2 linked regions of the Daphnia pulex genome follow. The main gene of each other region encodes a partner of the protein of the gene in region 2 in a complex. Links are inferred from orthologs where the notes say so. Each region holds a gene or a part of one and is shown on either strand. Other genes may lie near its edges.

The links.
Region 1: the proteins of peroxisomal membrane protein PEX14-like (region 2) and peroxisomal biogenesis factor 19-like are in contact, whole or in part, in an NMR structure (PDB 2W85), measured with the Homo sapiens proteins. The link is inferred for Daphnia pulex from reciprocal best matches to the Homo sapiens genes PEX14 and PEX19. Residues at the interface, in NP_004556.1 of Homo sapiens: Leu28, Thr31, Ala32, Lys34, Phe35, Asn38, Ser39, Arg40, Val41, Ser44, Thr48, Phe52, Lys56, Leu58; in NP_002848.1 of Homo sapiens: Gln67, Phe70, Phe71, Leu74, Phe75, Ser77.

The regions. Positions count from the first base shown.
Region 1 is NC_060022.1:6,085,021-6,088,535, forward strand, and holds peroxisomal biogenesis factor 19-like, read left to right. Parts: upstream 1-1,522; 5' UTR 1,523-1,679; coding exon 1,680-1,782; intron 1,783-1,847; coding exon 1,848-2,173; intron 2,174-2,244; coding exon 2,245-2,436; intron 2,437-2,503; coding exon 2,504-2,707; intron 2,708-2,767; coding exon 2,768-2,866; 3' UTR 2,867-2,981; downstream 2,982-3,515. Other genes in the region: DNA-binding protein Ets97D-like, read right to left, coding at 3,023-3,387, 3,465-3,515. UniProt on the Homo sapiens protein: Necessary for early peroxisomal biogenesis. Acts both as a cytosolic chaperone and as an import receptor for peroxisomal membrane proteins (PMPs).
Region 2 is NC_060028.1:9,567,816-9,572,192, reverse strand, and holds peroxisomal membrane protein PEX14-like, read left to right. Parts: upstream 1-1,450; 5' UTR 1,451-2,155; coding exon 2,156-2,227; intron 2,228-2,384; coding exon 2,385-2,531; intron 2,532-2,598; coding exon 2,599-2,762; intron 2,763-2,828; coding exon 2,829-3,053; intron 3,054-3,141; coding exon 3,142-3,463; 3' UTR 3,464-3,672; downstream 3,673-4,377. Other genes in the region: CTD nuclear envelope phosphatase 1-like, read right to left, coding at 4,275-4,377. UniProt on the Homo sapiens protein: Component of the PEX13-PEX14 docking complex, a translocon channel that specifically mediates the import of peroxisomal cargo proteins bound to PEX5 receptor.

The sequences.
Region 1 (3,515 bases), on a different chromosome or scaffold from region 2:
CACCGGCAATGTCCATTAAGTTCATTATTATGGTTTAGAGAACAGTAAAGAGTCTTTCATTCAATGTTATGCCCTTTAGGAATGGAGCTTTAAGAGGGTGATCCGAAACTCGAAAGCAATCAAAGCAATTTGTTCCCCATATCGAAAATTTTTATTTTTAATTCCACGTTAAACTTGAAGTGCTCTTCCAGTGCTTTTCTCCTTTTTGTGTATCGTTTCTCCTTACATGCAAATACTGAGCACCCATACAGTTTTCCCCGGTCTTATTAGTACTTAGGAGGTGCTACGAATCATTTGGCTATGATCATTTGTTCTCGTTTAACAGTGGTTAAACTGTGTCTTTTTTAAAGAGTAAAAATGTCCCCCAAACGAACTTCAGCCGAATTCATTACCAATAGAAATTGCAGCCTAAATGTTCGTCCTGTAACTTTATCACATAAAGGTTATTAATCCGTTACAGCTATAAGCTGTTATCTAAAATGATTTAAAACTCTGTTAGAATATGGATCGCGTGTTTAAAACCAAAATTTTTTTATTAACTAGTATCAGGGGTGAAATTGGGTTGGTGCAGGTCATGTTGAATGTTTACATTTTTAATGAATGAAATACAGATGCATTACTTGCATTTTTTTAAGTTCACTCATTTTGATTCATACTTGAATTTCCATTTTATCAGCATTCAACACATTATGTGTCAATTATTTTTTTAAGCAATTGAAGTTTGCCTTAAAAAAAAAAATGACTCCACCATCTCGAAATCATACCAGGTAGGCTAGATGGTGAATTTTCTTGATTTGGTGAACATTCGCGATGTGTCATTCCAGAATCGGTAGTACAGCAATTCGTGAAGAAGAGAAGAGGAAGAATAAAACGAAGCAAGATATTGGAGGATCAGTGAAAACTACTACTCATGTATTGATTTTGGTATCAGCAATGGACAAGCACTATTGCGGCAAGGCAGACCACCGTGTACGTTATAGAATATCACAATTTTTACTGTCATTTTGTCGGAAGACATATTACCTTTACCAACTGAACGTACTTTTTCAAAATTCCTTCTTTCATAGCTTTTAATTTGGGTCTGGCAGGTAAGTGAAATTGATTTGAACTTTGAAGCAAAGGCGGGATGGTAACGACTGCTCGACTGGTAACAACGGGATATAACGACATGTTCGATGTTCTGTTTTCATTTGTTAAAGCAAGACTAAGCTTAAAGCAACCGCCCTAATGGAAATCTTTGATTTTGACTATGTTACGAAATATTACTGTTAGGTTTAGAAAATATTTATGAATGAGCAGTCGCTTCTGTTATTCAGAACAAAAAATACATTTTACTCTCCCAATAAAGACGCAAAATTCAAAACCTAAAAAAAAAGTGATTTGTTTTAATTCATTTTTCACGCCAAATATAATTTTAATAAACAAGCATTCATGAATCATGATGAAGCGCATCTGCTTCATTCACGCACGCACGAACCATCACTAAATACCGAATGATTTCGGCAACATCGCGTTTTATTTATGAGGTAGTATTTCGTCGTCTTGTCTGGTCTTGCACTCTTTTCCTTGTCGAAATTTCCGGATGAGCAAGTTTTGAAGCCTGTGTCGATATTATTGATATCGAAATCTATTTCTACTTATACAATTCTGTACTTTGCTGTAAATAGATACATTTCAGTATGAGTGGAACCGGTTCTAATGATCCAAAGTCTGTACAAGATACGGCAGATATTAAAGAAGAATCTAAAGGAGATGACGAAGAACTAGACGCTTTACTTGACGGTATGTAGTTTAAACTAACTAGTTATTTGCCAACAAAGGAATAAAACATTCATTAAATGTAACAGATGCCCTGGAAGGATTTGACAAGCCACTGCAAGTGCCCAAAACAAAAGACAATGTTAAAGCCGAAGCAGCAGCACCTACAGATCAAGTATCAGATGTTGTGTGGTCTGAGGAGTTTATTCAAGAAGCGAGTTTGGAATTTGAGAAAAATATTCGTTTGATGATGGCAGAAACAGCACCAGGGGCCAGTGGTGATTCTGGATTTGCTGAAAGTTTGTTAAAGGTATCACAAGAAGCTGCAGCTAAAGTATTTGAAAGACAACCAGACCAGGGAGCATCCTTTGCTGATACTCTACGCTATTTAGCAGAAGGAACAGAATCACTTCAGGTAAATTTTTGTGGGTAGGATAAACCAAACTTTTTTATTTTTACTTTAACATGTCCTTATTTTTTCCATAGACTGAAGCTGATGAAGCTACATTAGCCAAAATGCTTGAAAAAATGGCATTTGGACCAGATGGGGGATTTGGAGATGGTGCTGGTGGAGATATGGGAGGTTTGGGTGACATTTTACCTGCAATGCAAGGAATGCTTCAAAGTTTGTTATCAAAGGAGTTGCTTTATCCATCTATCAAAGAGATTGTTAGCAAGGTAAGCATTCACTTGAGAACTGATGATAGTCAATCTTGTCTCTCATAACTTATTGTTATCTCCTTAGTACCCAGATTGGCTCGCAGACAATCGGCCGAAATTAGAACCTGCGCAATTTGAAAAATACAACCGCCAATACGCCGTTATGCAGCAAGTGTGTACCGAATTCGAAAATGATAACGACACTGATGATGCAGCGACGAAAAATAGTCGCTTTGAAAAGATATTAACTTTGATGCAACAAATGCAAGAATGTGGCCATCCCCCTAAAGTGAGTGCGACTACGAATAATTTGATTGATTTTCATTTAATGAAAAATCTTAATTTCAAGGAACTGGCTGGTGAAGCTGAACTGCTACCGAATCCCTTCGGTGGCGCGGATTTTGCTCAATCGATGGGACCTGGTGCCGAAAATTGTGTTGTTATGTAATTAATATAGTATGTTATAAAACATGTTTTTGTTATTGAAATTGGGCTATAAAAGGTATTAGAAGGTCGTTAAAAAAAATTGTTTGAACGGCATTACAACTTAATTTTATCATTAATGGCGTCAATTCTCAATGATTTAAACAAATACGTTTTGTATTTACACGTATGACGAACTTGCCCGTCTCATTTTGGATCGTTGCTCACACTCTGTTACAAGCTTATTAAGTTCATCAGCCGAATAGCCCAACAGTTGTTTGAGGTCACAAACAAATTTATACACAAATCGTTTACCGCTTACTTTGCAAATCATATCGCCATCATAATAATACCTCAGGGCTCGACTGAGTTTCTCATAGTTCATGTGTGGTTTGTTTTTCCTTTCTCCCCATAGTTGAGCCACCATTTCGGGGTTATTTAATTTGAATTCTCCTCCTGTCCCAAGCCAAGAAATAGCATCCCGGAAATTCACATCGGTCAACAGCTCAAGGAGAAACTGCCAGAGTTGTACCTGGCCATTGCTGCCTGTGAAACGGACAAGTTAATTCAAGTTAAAATCACCTTGATCATTAAAGCATACATATACTATATTTTTTAAATACCTGTTCGGTTTCCTGAGTTAGCAATCGAGAACGAACGCGAGGAAAATGTTT
Region 2 (4,377 bases):
TTTCAAACACAATTATCAAATTAAATCAAAAAATGCACCTGTACATTAGTGCAACATTACATGAACACCACCAAAAGACTTAAGTATGATGTCCAACTGCAAATTCATACAAGTTCCATTACAGGGAAGCTCTCAGATGGAAAATGACTGCAAGATTCACACCAGACAACACCATCGACAGCTCAAACACCAAACTGACCAAGGAATCCTACAAAACAAAAGGACATTAATAAGCCGAGAACATTTTCAGATTTGAAAAAAAAATCTGTTGTCATAAAAAAGTCTACATCTCTCTATTAGCTGGTTTTCACAAAAGCTGTCTTACTTGAAAAGAAGTAGGTGTCGGATTCTTTCTTTATCAAAAATGTAATATACAACTAATATTCAAAACAAAGAACATATGAAGCATCCATAGTAGACTACAGATTGAGCAAAATGCTTGCCCACCGATTGATTCAAACTGGCAACTTTTAACAACTGCTGTCATGGAAGCAAGAAATAATGTCACTTATTTTCCGACATCAAGAACAAAATGCTACCTAATTCAGCTTAAGAGTAACTTTTTTACCTTTCCAGATTTCCTCTTTTCACCTTATTTGTCATTCAATATGGAAGAACCTTCTCTAGGACGCATTTTCATGACAAGACAGCGATAACGTGCACGCAACACATGTTCAGACAGTTCAAACTCCATAATGCTGCTTATAGAAAAATATTAACTCAATTACTACATATCAAGGAATTTCAATTCAGAAAGAGTCATAGGAATTAAGAGATAATCAACAATTTTACTTGTACATAGACGTCTCAGACGAAACGTGCAACACGCAGCAAGAGATATTTAAGAAAATGTACAGCAATATGACCAAGGATAAATCTAAGGGCACGAACCCCGTAAATTCACCACACAAAATATTTAAAGTTAATAACCTTAGATTAACGCAGAAATTACCTTTTTCGACGAAGAATTTCAGAAAAATGCACTCAGCAATGACTAGAGTCACTATTCTCGGACAGCGTCACAGTTTAAAAGAAAGAGGAATTAGAATGTCGTCTCAAAAGTCAAAACTTAAATAACGCCCCCATTCATCCCTCTACACACTAGGGCTGAATAGTTCAATCCCTAAACACATTGAATTATTTGGCCACCTAGTGACAGCCCTTAGCATCCACGGGACCACGGAGTCACGGACGACAAAAGTCAGACGGAAGACAAACCAAATGTTCGTCATCTCCGTGAAATAGATTTAGTTGAAATAAAAAATGCAATTATCGAAAAATTAACAAGTGAGCTTTGTTGCTGGAATTATTTTTACAGATATGTACAAAATAGCTTAGCTGAAACTGACTAATTTGATTTTACAGCTGAAAATGACCAAAGGCTTATGATAAAGTCATCTAGCGTTAGAAAAAAGAAACGTACAAACAATTCGTTCGTGACTCTCAAAGAGGGTCTGAATTAGAAATGACTCAGACACAGCTTTTAAAGCTAGTAGATTATTAGTAATTATATATTAAAATAAGTGAATTGTCGGGTACCTAGGCACCCGTGGTGAGTGACTGTCACAGCGGAGTGAAGTGGTCCAACTCGTCAGTAAACTCTTTACTGTAACTCAATATATACCACGTATTTAATACCATGATCACACCACACAACTATCATTCCTCCTTCATTGCTCACGTTACATTACCATATCTGGAAAGATGAATTATTGTATATGCAAATTGCTACAATTCTATTCAGTAGTCAATTTTCAATAAAGTGGATGGCTGAACTGAAAGACAATTTTTATAGTATCCTTCTCTTGCTTTTTAAATTAAGGCCGACTAGTCGAGATTTAAATAATAGCAAAATCACTCTCTAAAAAACCACTTTTTACTACTTACTAATTACCATTAATTCATAAATAATGACTACGCCGTCTACGCGAGTCCGTGAAATCTTCGCTTCAACTGTTCAACATGAGTGGCAGACGAATAATTTTCAGCATTAGCTCAACAGCATCCGCATGAATTTCCGTCCTTCACTTGTTTTTCCTGAGTGTGATAACACAACAAACCGAACCACCTGAAATTTCCAAGGTTGCGTGATAATACATGCCTGTTTGGCTGATTATTCAGCGTTTCTGAATTGAAACTTCGATTAATTTCCACAATGAGTGAAGCAGGTGAAGAAATCAACGGAGATTCCCTCAAAGAAAATACACAGCCTTTACGCGAAGACCTGGTAAGTGGTAACTGTAATTTGTAAACATTCTTTTGAATGCATTTCTAGTTTATTAAAAATGCTTTATCACATTAGTGGTACAATGCAGTGTAAATGATTAGAACATGGTTTTTCTTTAATGTGTAAACAACTGTGATTCTGTGTGTATGATTTACAGATTTCCACTGCTGTAAAGTTTTTGCAAAACCCCCGTGTTGCAACTCGTCCCAGGTCAGAAAAAGAATTGTTTTTGCAAAGAAAAGGATTAAACCATGCTGAAATTTCTGCAGCATTTGAGGCCTCTGGAATGAAAGAAACCAAATCAGTATGTCATTTTTATCCAGGCACATATATATTAAAAGGATGGATTCTACGATTTTTTTTTATTGAAGGAGGGAGGTGTAGGACATTACTCTTCAGTTAAAGTAGCCCAACTGCATGAATATAGTCGATCATTGGCACCAGTTGCAACATCAAAATGGAGTATAATCAGGGATATACTAAATGCATCAGTCCTTATAGCAGGAGCTGCATATAGCCTTCATTATTTGTACAGGTAAGAAACAACTATTTATCTAATTTCTTAGTTTGGAAACATTAAGGTTTTTTCTTTTACTTTTAGGCGATTCATAGAGCCTTTTTTATTTGGCCATAAAAAGAAGAAGTCATTGGCAGACACTGTTGAAGAAATGAACAAGAACCTCACTTGTTTAGTCGGCGACGTTTCTGCTGCTGTACAGAATCTATCAGACACAGTTGCTACGCTTCGTTCAAAACAGCACGAACAATCTGAATTGAAGGAGTTAAAAGCTGAAGTGACATCATTGAAAGCCATTTTGTTAGGAAGGTAAAGTGTCATATAAATTTATAATTTTGATTAGTAAGGAATATGTAAAATTATTGGAATTTCATTATTGGAATTTGAAATTCATCAGGCGACAGTTTCCTGCTCCTCCAGCAATCGTGACTGGGCCTCCCTCTATTCCCCCTTGGCAGTTAAGCTCAACTAGTGGAGCAAAACAAGATCTACGTGCTGAACAATCTAACAAGAACAATCAAAGCGATGGCATTTCTCTGTCTTCATCCCCAGAGATCATCTCCGTAGAGGACATGCAAACAAATTCTTCGTCGATGGTGAATGCTGGTTTGAGCTCGGTGTTACCAGCTCGTGGTCCGAGCGAGAGCAGTGAATCCAATAGTGCCGAAATAGTTGAAATGGGAGCTTCTGGCGCATCTGGGGAAGAAGATACAGATTAAATTGCCAATTTTAACCATATTATTAATATTATGCCTGTTGCTTTTGTGTTGGAAAGAAATGTGAAATTTAAATACTTTAGTTGATGGCCTTCAAAAGATGAGCATCGGTGATCGAGTTAAAATTTCAAGCTGTATATCAACTAGTCCATGTATTGACTTTTACTTATTTCGTCGGGTTCGGGGCATTAAGATAAAAAATGGGAAAAGAAGTCTTGTTTTTTTTTGTTTTCTTTTGTTTGGTAGGGTGAGCGATACAAGGGGTAGAAAGGGATGATGTATTCACACACTTCCGAAATGGATAAGATAATCAAAAGAAAGAGACAGAGGAAGAGTATTCACTGTACACAATTAAAGATTGTTGATTCCACCTGGTTAGCCATATTGCTTTCAACAATAAATCTGTCAACTGGAAGAGGAAAGTGTAAGAAGAGAATAGAAGGGTCAACCAATCATGAACAACACGTTTTGTAAGAAGAAAAAAAAATATTGTCGTTAGTCTCTCAGCACACTACACTCCACATCAAATCCATCCAATCGCACACGCGTCATATCAATTGTTGTGTCTGTTAAAGACAAGGCCGGTCGATTACGCAACGAGAAAACTGAGGCCATCTGAGGACCGTTTGTAGTGATACCTATCGGTCAAATAAGGGCTCCTCAGTAGTGTGCAGTTAAGAGTTGTTGATCGACTGGAAACTGATCAAAAGTGAATAAACGCAAGGGAATGAGACTTGGCTGCAGAGGTGATAAGGGAGGTGGGCAGAAGTGAGGGAGCTGGTATGTGCCGGATGAAAATCACAAGTCAGCAAAACTACCAGAGTCGATGCGAGTGCAAGTTCCTGCCGAGAACACTTCGAACGTCCTGCGTGAATCGCAAAGCGTCTAGTACCGGTAGCAGGTTGAGCAGGGCAGTG